Lytechinus pictus: one gene and its partner. The protein of the gene in region 1 interacts with the protein of each later gene in a pairwise test. Links are inferred from orthologs where the notes say so. Each region holds a gene or a part of one and is shown in the gene's direction. Other genes may lie near its edges. The genes, in order: PIN2/TERF1-interacting telomerase inhibitor 1-like; axin interactor, dorsalization-associated protein-like.

Evidence for each region.
Region 2: the proteins of PIN2/TERF1-interacting telomerase inhibitor 1-like (region 1) and axin interactor, dorsalization-associated protein-like interact in binary tests that used the Homo sapiens proteins (3 or more experiments, as listed by UniProt). The link is inferred for Lytechinus pictus from reciprocal best matches to the Homo sapiens genes PINX1 and AIDA.

What each region holds. Positions count from the first base shown.
Region 1 is NC_087250.1:7,514,306-7,518,235, reverse strand, and holds the start of PIN2/TERF1-interacting telomerase inhibitor 1-like, read left to right. Parts: upstream 1-1,781; 5' UTR 1,782-1,835; intron 1,836-3,591; 5' UTR 3,592-3,617; coding exon 3,618-3,714; intron 3,715-3,930. UniProt on the Homo sapiens protein: Microtubule-binding protein essential for faithful chromosome segregation. Mediates TRF1 and TERT accumulation in nucleolus and enhances TRF1 binding to telomeres. Inhibits telomerase activity. May inhibit cell proliferation and act as tumor suppressor.
Region 2 is NC_087251.1:28,246,672-28,250,601, forward strand, and holds the start of axin interactor, dorsalization-associated protein-like, read left to right. Parts: upstream 1-1,519; 5' UTR 1,520-1,634; intron 1,635-3,930. UniProt on the Homo sapiens protein: Acts as a ventralizing factor during embryogenesis. Inhibits axin-mediated JNK activation by binding axin and disrupting axin homodimerization. This in turn antagonizes a Wnt/beta-catenin-independent dorsalization pathway activated by AXIN/JNK-signaling.

The sequences.
Region 1 (3,930 bases):
CCACATAGCCTGCACGTAACACACACACTATCGGACTTCCTTAATTGACCAATCAGAGAATGGCTAACGTGCTGTCTTTAACGGGACGTGCTCGCTAGCGTGCAGCCACCATTAGGGGACTTGCAATGCAAAATCCCCCGTCGGGGCTCTTCAATTTTTGTCTTTAATGAAAAAAAATTTTGAAAATTAACGCGACCAAAATGCAAATTAATATTCCCTCTTGGCATTAATTGCCAAAAAACGGAGAAAAATCAAGTTAAAAGGAACAAAAACAGTGACTTACCTCGGCTGTCGCGCAAATTCACTTCCCCGTTTTATCCGATCTTAAGTACATAAACATATGGCCATTGAGTCCCCTGTACAGATCGCGCTAGAACTTCGGTCTCTGTATTTGGTGAGTGAAGCCAACGGAGTTCAGCTGAACAACCAACATAATAGAGACCGAAGCTTTTGGTCTATGTATCCTATTGCCGGACACCTTTATTTCAGTGCTTTAAAAATGACCACTAGAGGAAATACAATCAAGAAAAAATCGCACTTGCTATTCCAAATATTATGAAAATTATGAATATGGTAAAATTATTTTATATTTACCAACCATTTTCTTTGCATCGCACTTGCCGCATACCCCTCCACGAAAAACAGTTATTTTCGTGCGTGACAAATTACATCATCAGACAGTAGAGGCGCACGGCCAATATGGGAGACTCTCTCCAATAGGGGAGACAATCTCCCACATTGGAGACTTGCTTTGCAAAAGGACAAAAGAAACAACACCAACAAAAGTATGATTTTTTCCACCCAAAATTTTGTCTCACTGAGGTCAGAAGCCCATTTGTTTTGTGTGTGATTGACAACAAAATCCCTTATCAAAATAAAAGTAGACGGTGAATTTTTAAAGTAGACGGTGAAAAGGGGTAATTTTTCATGAGGAATCTGCTTATCACATTTTTATTTGCCGCCAAGGTAATCCTTTTGCAGCAAATGTAAACAAAGGAAATTGGACTCCAAAACTGGAGACTGTCTCTGAAATTGGATACCCAAATTCTTTACAAAAGTCTCTGATATTGGAGATAATCTCCCACATTGGAGACAGTCTCCAATATTGGCCGTGCGCCTCTACTGATCATGATTCCGGACGCGCGCCGGACGGGTAAAGATATTCTTGATTATAATGATGTAAGAACAAATTTGTGTGATTTTTTCTTCTTATATAATATCATGAGTAAATTCTAAGTTTTTGTTTGCTGTTTTTATATCGATTCTGAGCAGATGTTGGTAATAAATTCGTGTTTGATAACTTATTTTATTTTTTCTTGTTAGCTGCATGTTTCATGGAACTTTCCAATATTATGCTCGTTCGTATCGTGACGCTCATCAAGTTCTATCGATGCGCTGCCGATCGTCGACGGCTCTATACTCACGGTGCTCACGGTAAACCTCGCGCACGGGTACCTTGAGAACTAGCCGTCGACGATCACCCACAATACACCACACCTCATCATTCGATCGAAGGAGCGGACGAGATTAATTGAAATTCGGCAGATCAGACCCATATTTCCGTTAGAAAATATATCAATTGTTAATGCAAAACTATGTTATTTGATATTTTAAGCATTTTCTGTCATTTTAGAGATAAATAAGGTAAAAGTTGGATTTTTTTCGCCTTGTTTTTGCAATCCTGTTCTATGTATTGCTCTGTGAAATTGAATTGCGGAAGTCTTACGGTACAAAATTGTTTTCGAATGCAGTAATATGCGCGTCCGGTAATACAATACGTGACTATACATGTAAATACGATAAAATGCGTGTATGTGAACTCGGCTAAGCAGCAGGTAAGCTCCGCTGCCTTCGCGGTGCTGCGTTGGCGGAGCTGAGGCCAAGGCTTGGGCTTGAGCTCAGAGTCAGAGCTCTACATTACATCCCGGAGGGGGCAGTCAAATATAATTGCTGTACACATGCGTGACAAAAAGAAACCGCGTGGAAAAGTGGTGTTTTTTCAGTTTTGGACGTGGGCCGCGCGTGCACTCTTATAAAAAACACAGATTTTCAAGAAAAAGGTAGCCATGCCACTATTATAACCCAGCCCCAGGGAGCCCAGGGGCTTACCGTGTATTTGACCATAGTCACCGGACTAGGGTGATTTATGGTCTAAATATTTCTCCAAATGAATTGTGAAAACAGAAAGTATACAATTAGGCCTACCACGATTATATTGATGAAGGTCTAACGAGTGGCAGTTTCCTGACATCTGCCTGGGCACAGACTGGAACCTCAAAAAACGAAAAGTTCTCTCCTTCTTCCCTGTCTCGATCGGCCATTTTTGTTAAAAATCGTAACAAAATGGCCGATCGAGACTGGGTAGAAGGAGAGAACTTTTCGTTTTTTTGAGGTTCCAGTCTGTGCCCAGATGTCAGGAAACTGCCACTCGTTAGACCTTCATCCATATAATCGTGGTAATTGTATACTTTCTGTTTTCACAATTCATTTAGAGAAATATTTAGACCATAAATCACCCTAGTCCGGTGACTATGGTCAAATACACGGTAAGCCCCTGGGCTCCCGCCCGCGCAGCAGGCGGGAGCTCCCTGGGTTAGTAATAATAGTATTGCCAGCCCATGCAGGCCAGGCAGGAGGAGGCTTTAGAGTTTAGTTCTAGAGAGTAAAAAAAAATTATTTACTAACCTATGCTTACTCTCAACGAAGGTCGAAGCCAGGAATTCCTTCCCATTCATACATGTATCTGCACGTACCGCCCCAACACCTGAAACTTCCCCCCCCCCCAAGATTTCTACTTCTAGAAAAAAGATCTAGCCCTATCATGTACATGGGGTACAACTTCATTTCCGACATTTCTACGCTATCGATTTTATTTTTAAACAAGAATTCATAAAAAAAATGAGAAAAATATGAAAAGACGGAAGAGAATTGCCCAATGTTTACGCCGCCATCTTGTTTCCATGTACAAACATCTTAAAATCAGCAAACTGGATCTGAATACAGAGGTTTAAGCGTGTATGCAAGAGCAGCCACAAGTATCCATTTAAATTACATAAGGACGGTTTCCAATCCTTTTCTTAGGTTTGAATAATTTTTCTAAATGTTTATCTCTCTCTCTCTCCCCTCAATATATCTTTCCCTTTCTCCCCTCCCACTTCTCACCCCACCCCAACCCCCACTCCAAATCTATCTTTGTCCCCTCCCACTTCCCACCCCCACCCTAACCCCTTCTCCCAATATATCTATCCCTCTTTATCTTTCTCCCTTAATTCCCACTTCTTAACATCCCCACCCAACCCCTCTCCCAATCTATCCTTCTTTCTTTTCCCCTCCCATTTCTCTGCACCCAACCCCTCTCCCAATCTTTATCTTTCTCTCTTTTCTCCTCTCTCCCACTTCTCCCCAACCCTACCCCAACCCCTTCTCCCAATCAATCTTTCTTTCTTTCTCTTTCTCCCTTCACACATCTTCCCACCCCACCCTAACCCCATCTCCCAATCTCTTTCTTCCCCTCTCCCACTTCTCTCCACCCCGCTCTTTCCCCCCACCCCCTACTCTCTCTCCATCTCTCTTTATGTTCTGTTCATTCAGATTCCTCCAAGTTTGGTCAGAAGTTGATGGAGAAGATGGGTTGGTCAAAGGGCAAAGGTCTTGGGATCAAAGAGGATGGAAACGTCTCACACGTCAAAGTTTCTCTCAAGAATAACAACTTAGGTGAGTTTGCACTGGCCAGTAGAGGAGAGGGGGTGGTGGGGGGGGGGGAGGGGGGGGGGGGGTATTCAGCTATAATGCTTTACACATGTGTGACCAGGAAAACGAAGTTAATAAATCTAAAAATCATATTAGAAATATATGTCGTGTTAAGGACCTGTGCATTTGTACAACACTATATCATCATCATCATTTTCATTATCATCATAACGTTCATCA
Region 2 (3,930 bases), on another chromosome or scaffold:
GTTGTCTAAACTCCAAAAGCTCCAGAACGCTGCAGCACGTTTGGTCACCCTATCTAAAAAGTATGTTCACATCACACCCATTCTAAAAAATATCTTCATTGGTTAAAGGTCAACGATCGCATCATCTTCAAAATCCTTCTCCTTGTTTTCCACGCAATTAATGGCTCTGCTCCACAGTACAATATTAATCTAATCAGCAAATACAGCCCGGTCACACGTTCATCCAACTCTGGTTCCCTAGTTATTCCTAAATCCGTTAAAGTAGAACTATATTGAAAATCGTAAAAATGGGGAATCATATATCAAATTAAAGGAGAAAATAAGGAGAACACGATGGTGTAAATCATTTATCATGGAGACCGATGGAACTCAGTTAATTGATAGTTTAAAGTTCTCTCTCTGAATGCTTCAAACACGCAGAATTACGTCCGCGAAATTGGGGATTTTTTATGACGTCACTTTCTGTACGAGAGGCGTGATTGGCTCTCCAACGTGAAGCTCCACTTGCATGCAAAACCTGTTGCGAGGGTACGTTTTCTCCACATTGTCACTGAATACTTTGAGCCCGAAATGAAAGAAAACCCAGAATTTTATCTAGATTTGGATTTTCAAATTGATGATTATGAATTAAGATGAAGAGAATGATGATGAAGTTTCTAGCTCTAGAAAAACAAAGTGACGTGGATAGAGGTATACATTAGGGGAATTACGCCGGTGATTATGAGTCGGACAATTCAACTTGCATATGCCGATTCGCTACCAACACATGCAGCTGATAGCTGCTCCGCGGGTCAAATCCATGAAAATGAATTCCATCACGACCACATCCAGACAGAGTCTCTTTCTTCTATCAACAACATAATGAGAATGAAAATAATGATATAACTGTACTTACAAACAAGTGAATATATCCGAACCTAGGCTGAAGGTAAATCAACTCAAGGAATAACAGCAGACGATATGCACCGACGATGAATTTCACGTGGCTGGGAGATTGTCACTCGTTCTGTTAGATAAAATTTCTATCTAATTATTTTGACTAAATTACGAAACTCGGAGAATTAGTATTCTACATAAAAATTAAGTAACACCTGGTACTATTTTTTGAATTACGATAAAACCTTTTTGAAGCAAAGAAAATGAGGTAAATTAAAATTAGATATAAAAGATCATCCGCCTAGCTCGCATTCGATTGTAAACAATCAGCAAGGCGAGCACATAGAGTTGGATAAAGCTACGCTCCAACTCTATGGGCGAGCAAGCCACTGAACTGAAAATACGTATTTTCAGTTCAGTGGAGCAAGCTGGCCATGTGCTTTTGATTGTTTGTTTACAATCGCATGCGGCTAAGTGGATGATCCTTTATATCTTATTTTAATTTACCTCAATTTCTTTGCTTCAAAAATATTTTATCGTAATTCAAAAAATAGTACCAGGTGTTACTTAATTTTTATGTAGAATACTAATTCTCCGAATTTCGTAATTTAGTCAAAATAATGAGATATAAATTTTATCTAACAGAACGAGTGAACATCTATTCCAGCCACGTGAAATTCATCGTCGGTGCATATCGTCTGCTTCTATTCCTTGAGTTGATTTACCTTCAGCCTAGGTTCGGATATATTCACTTATTTGTAAGTACAGTTATTTTATTATTTTCCTTCTCATTATGTTGTTGATAGAGGAAAGAGACTCTGTCTGGATGTGGTCATGCTGCATGGAATTCATTTTCATGGATTTGACCCGCGGTCCCGCGGTGCAGCTAGCATGCAGCTGCATACGTACGTTGGTAGCGAATCGGCTTGCAAGTTGAATTGTCTTACTCATCATCACCGGCGTAATTCCCTTAATTTACCACCATCCACGTCACTTTGTTTTTCTAGAATTAGAAACTTTATCATCATTCTCTTCATCTTCATAATCATCAATTTGAAAATCCAAATCTAGATAAATTTCTGGGTTTTCTTTCATTTCATGATCGAAGTATTGGGAGTATTCAGTGTCAGTGTGGAGAAAACGTACCCTCGCAACAGGTTTTGCATGCAAGTGGAGCTTGACGTGGGAGAGCCAATCACGCCTCTCGTACAGACAGTGACGTCATCAAATTCGAGTCAATTCAGAGACCGATGCGAGGCATATTTCGGAGAGGCATTTTAGCGCTTTTTAATCGGCGATTTCCACCTTATGTATTATTTTCGTTATTTTTTAATGACCTAATGGTAATCCACACATCATTACCTTTCCACTGATATATAATAAGGCCATATTCATAATCAATATATTTCTCCTTTAAGACATGAGGGGTTCGGGCTTTTGCTCACGCTGGCCCTATTCTCTGGAATGATCTTCCCCTGACAATCCGTGAATGCACGTCCATTGACACATACCTTAAGACTCGTCTATTCAATGCCTCTTACTCTTAATTGTTCCTGAATCTATTACCATTGTATTTGTACTTTTTCTCTTTCGTTCTTTCTCTCTTCTTTCACTGCGCCTTGGGCACTCTGCCGAGTGGATTTGGCGCATTACAAATCACATATATTATTATTATTAGAAATCTGATGTTTATTCTTCCCCTAATGATCTTAGATAGACTACACAAATAAATTAGCAATGGAAATTGATAACTTTGCCGAGTCTCGGTTTTCATAAAATTTTGAATCTGTATTATTTGCAGAATGATCTGATGATTGTAGCGTTAAGACTCTACTATAATTTAATGATGATAATCAGGGATATGTGAAGGGAGATAATTTATGACAAAACTAATGACGTGATGCTCTCTATGTTTATTCTTAATACTCTCAGAAATTGTTTTAATCAACCCAAAAGTTGGTTAAAGTATCAAACGATCAACTGTTTTTTTCAATAATTCCAATTCATTATGGGATGCGATTTTGTTTTAACCAACCGTTGGTAGGTTCAATGAGAGGTTGGACAAAACATTTCTGACTGTACTTTTAAATTTGTCCCTCTCCCTCCCTCCCCTCAGTCACTCTCACTCTCTCCCTCCCTTCACATACACACACACCCACACGCATTCTTTCTCCTCTCTCTTCTTCTCGCCCTCTCCCTCCACACACACACACACACTTTCTGTATCCCCTCTCCCTCTCCCTATCCAGGTCCTGCTCTCTCTCTCTCTCATTTCACTTGCTATCTCACTCACACATCCCACACACCCACATAACACTCACTTTCAATATTTTCTCAAGTCCTTTTTTTTATCTGTCCTTTCCCCCTTTCCTGTATGAATAAAAGTGGAAACAGGAAAATCGAGCTAAGTAAATTCCACAGCGGAAATAGGGATAGTTGTATTGTAAAGGAAAATGTGGTATTCTGATAGCCAAGGTTAAAGGTCAAGTCCACTTCAGAAAATTGCTGATATGAATAAATAGAGAAAAATCCAACGAGCATAACCCTGAAAATTCCATCAAAATCGGATGTAAAATAAGAAAGTTATGACATTTAGAACTGTCACAAAACAAGGATATGCACTACTCAGTGACATGCAAATGAGACAGACAATGATGCCCCTCATTCACAATTTATTTTGTCTTTTATTGTTTGAATTCAACATATTTAAATTTTTACAGATTTGACAATAAGGACCAACTTTACTGAACCGTAAAATGGTAATTCCACGTGTTCAGGGAGGAATAAAACTTTGTTTCACAGGACAAAGAGGAGAAAATTAAAATGCTTATTTCATATAATAAACTACAAAAGAAATAGGGAGTGAATTATGTCATCAGTCCCCTCATTTGCATACCGACCAGGATGTGCATATAACTGTTTTGTGAAACTAGGTGACACTTTAAAATGTCGTAAATTTCTTATTTTATATCCAATTTCGATGAAATTTTCAGTGTCACACTTGTTGGATATTTCTGTTTACTCAAATTAACTTTTGGTGGGGTGGACTTTTCC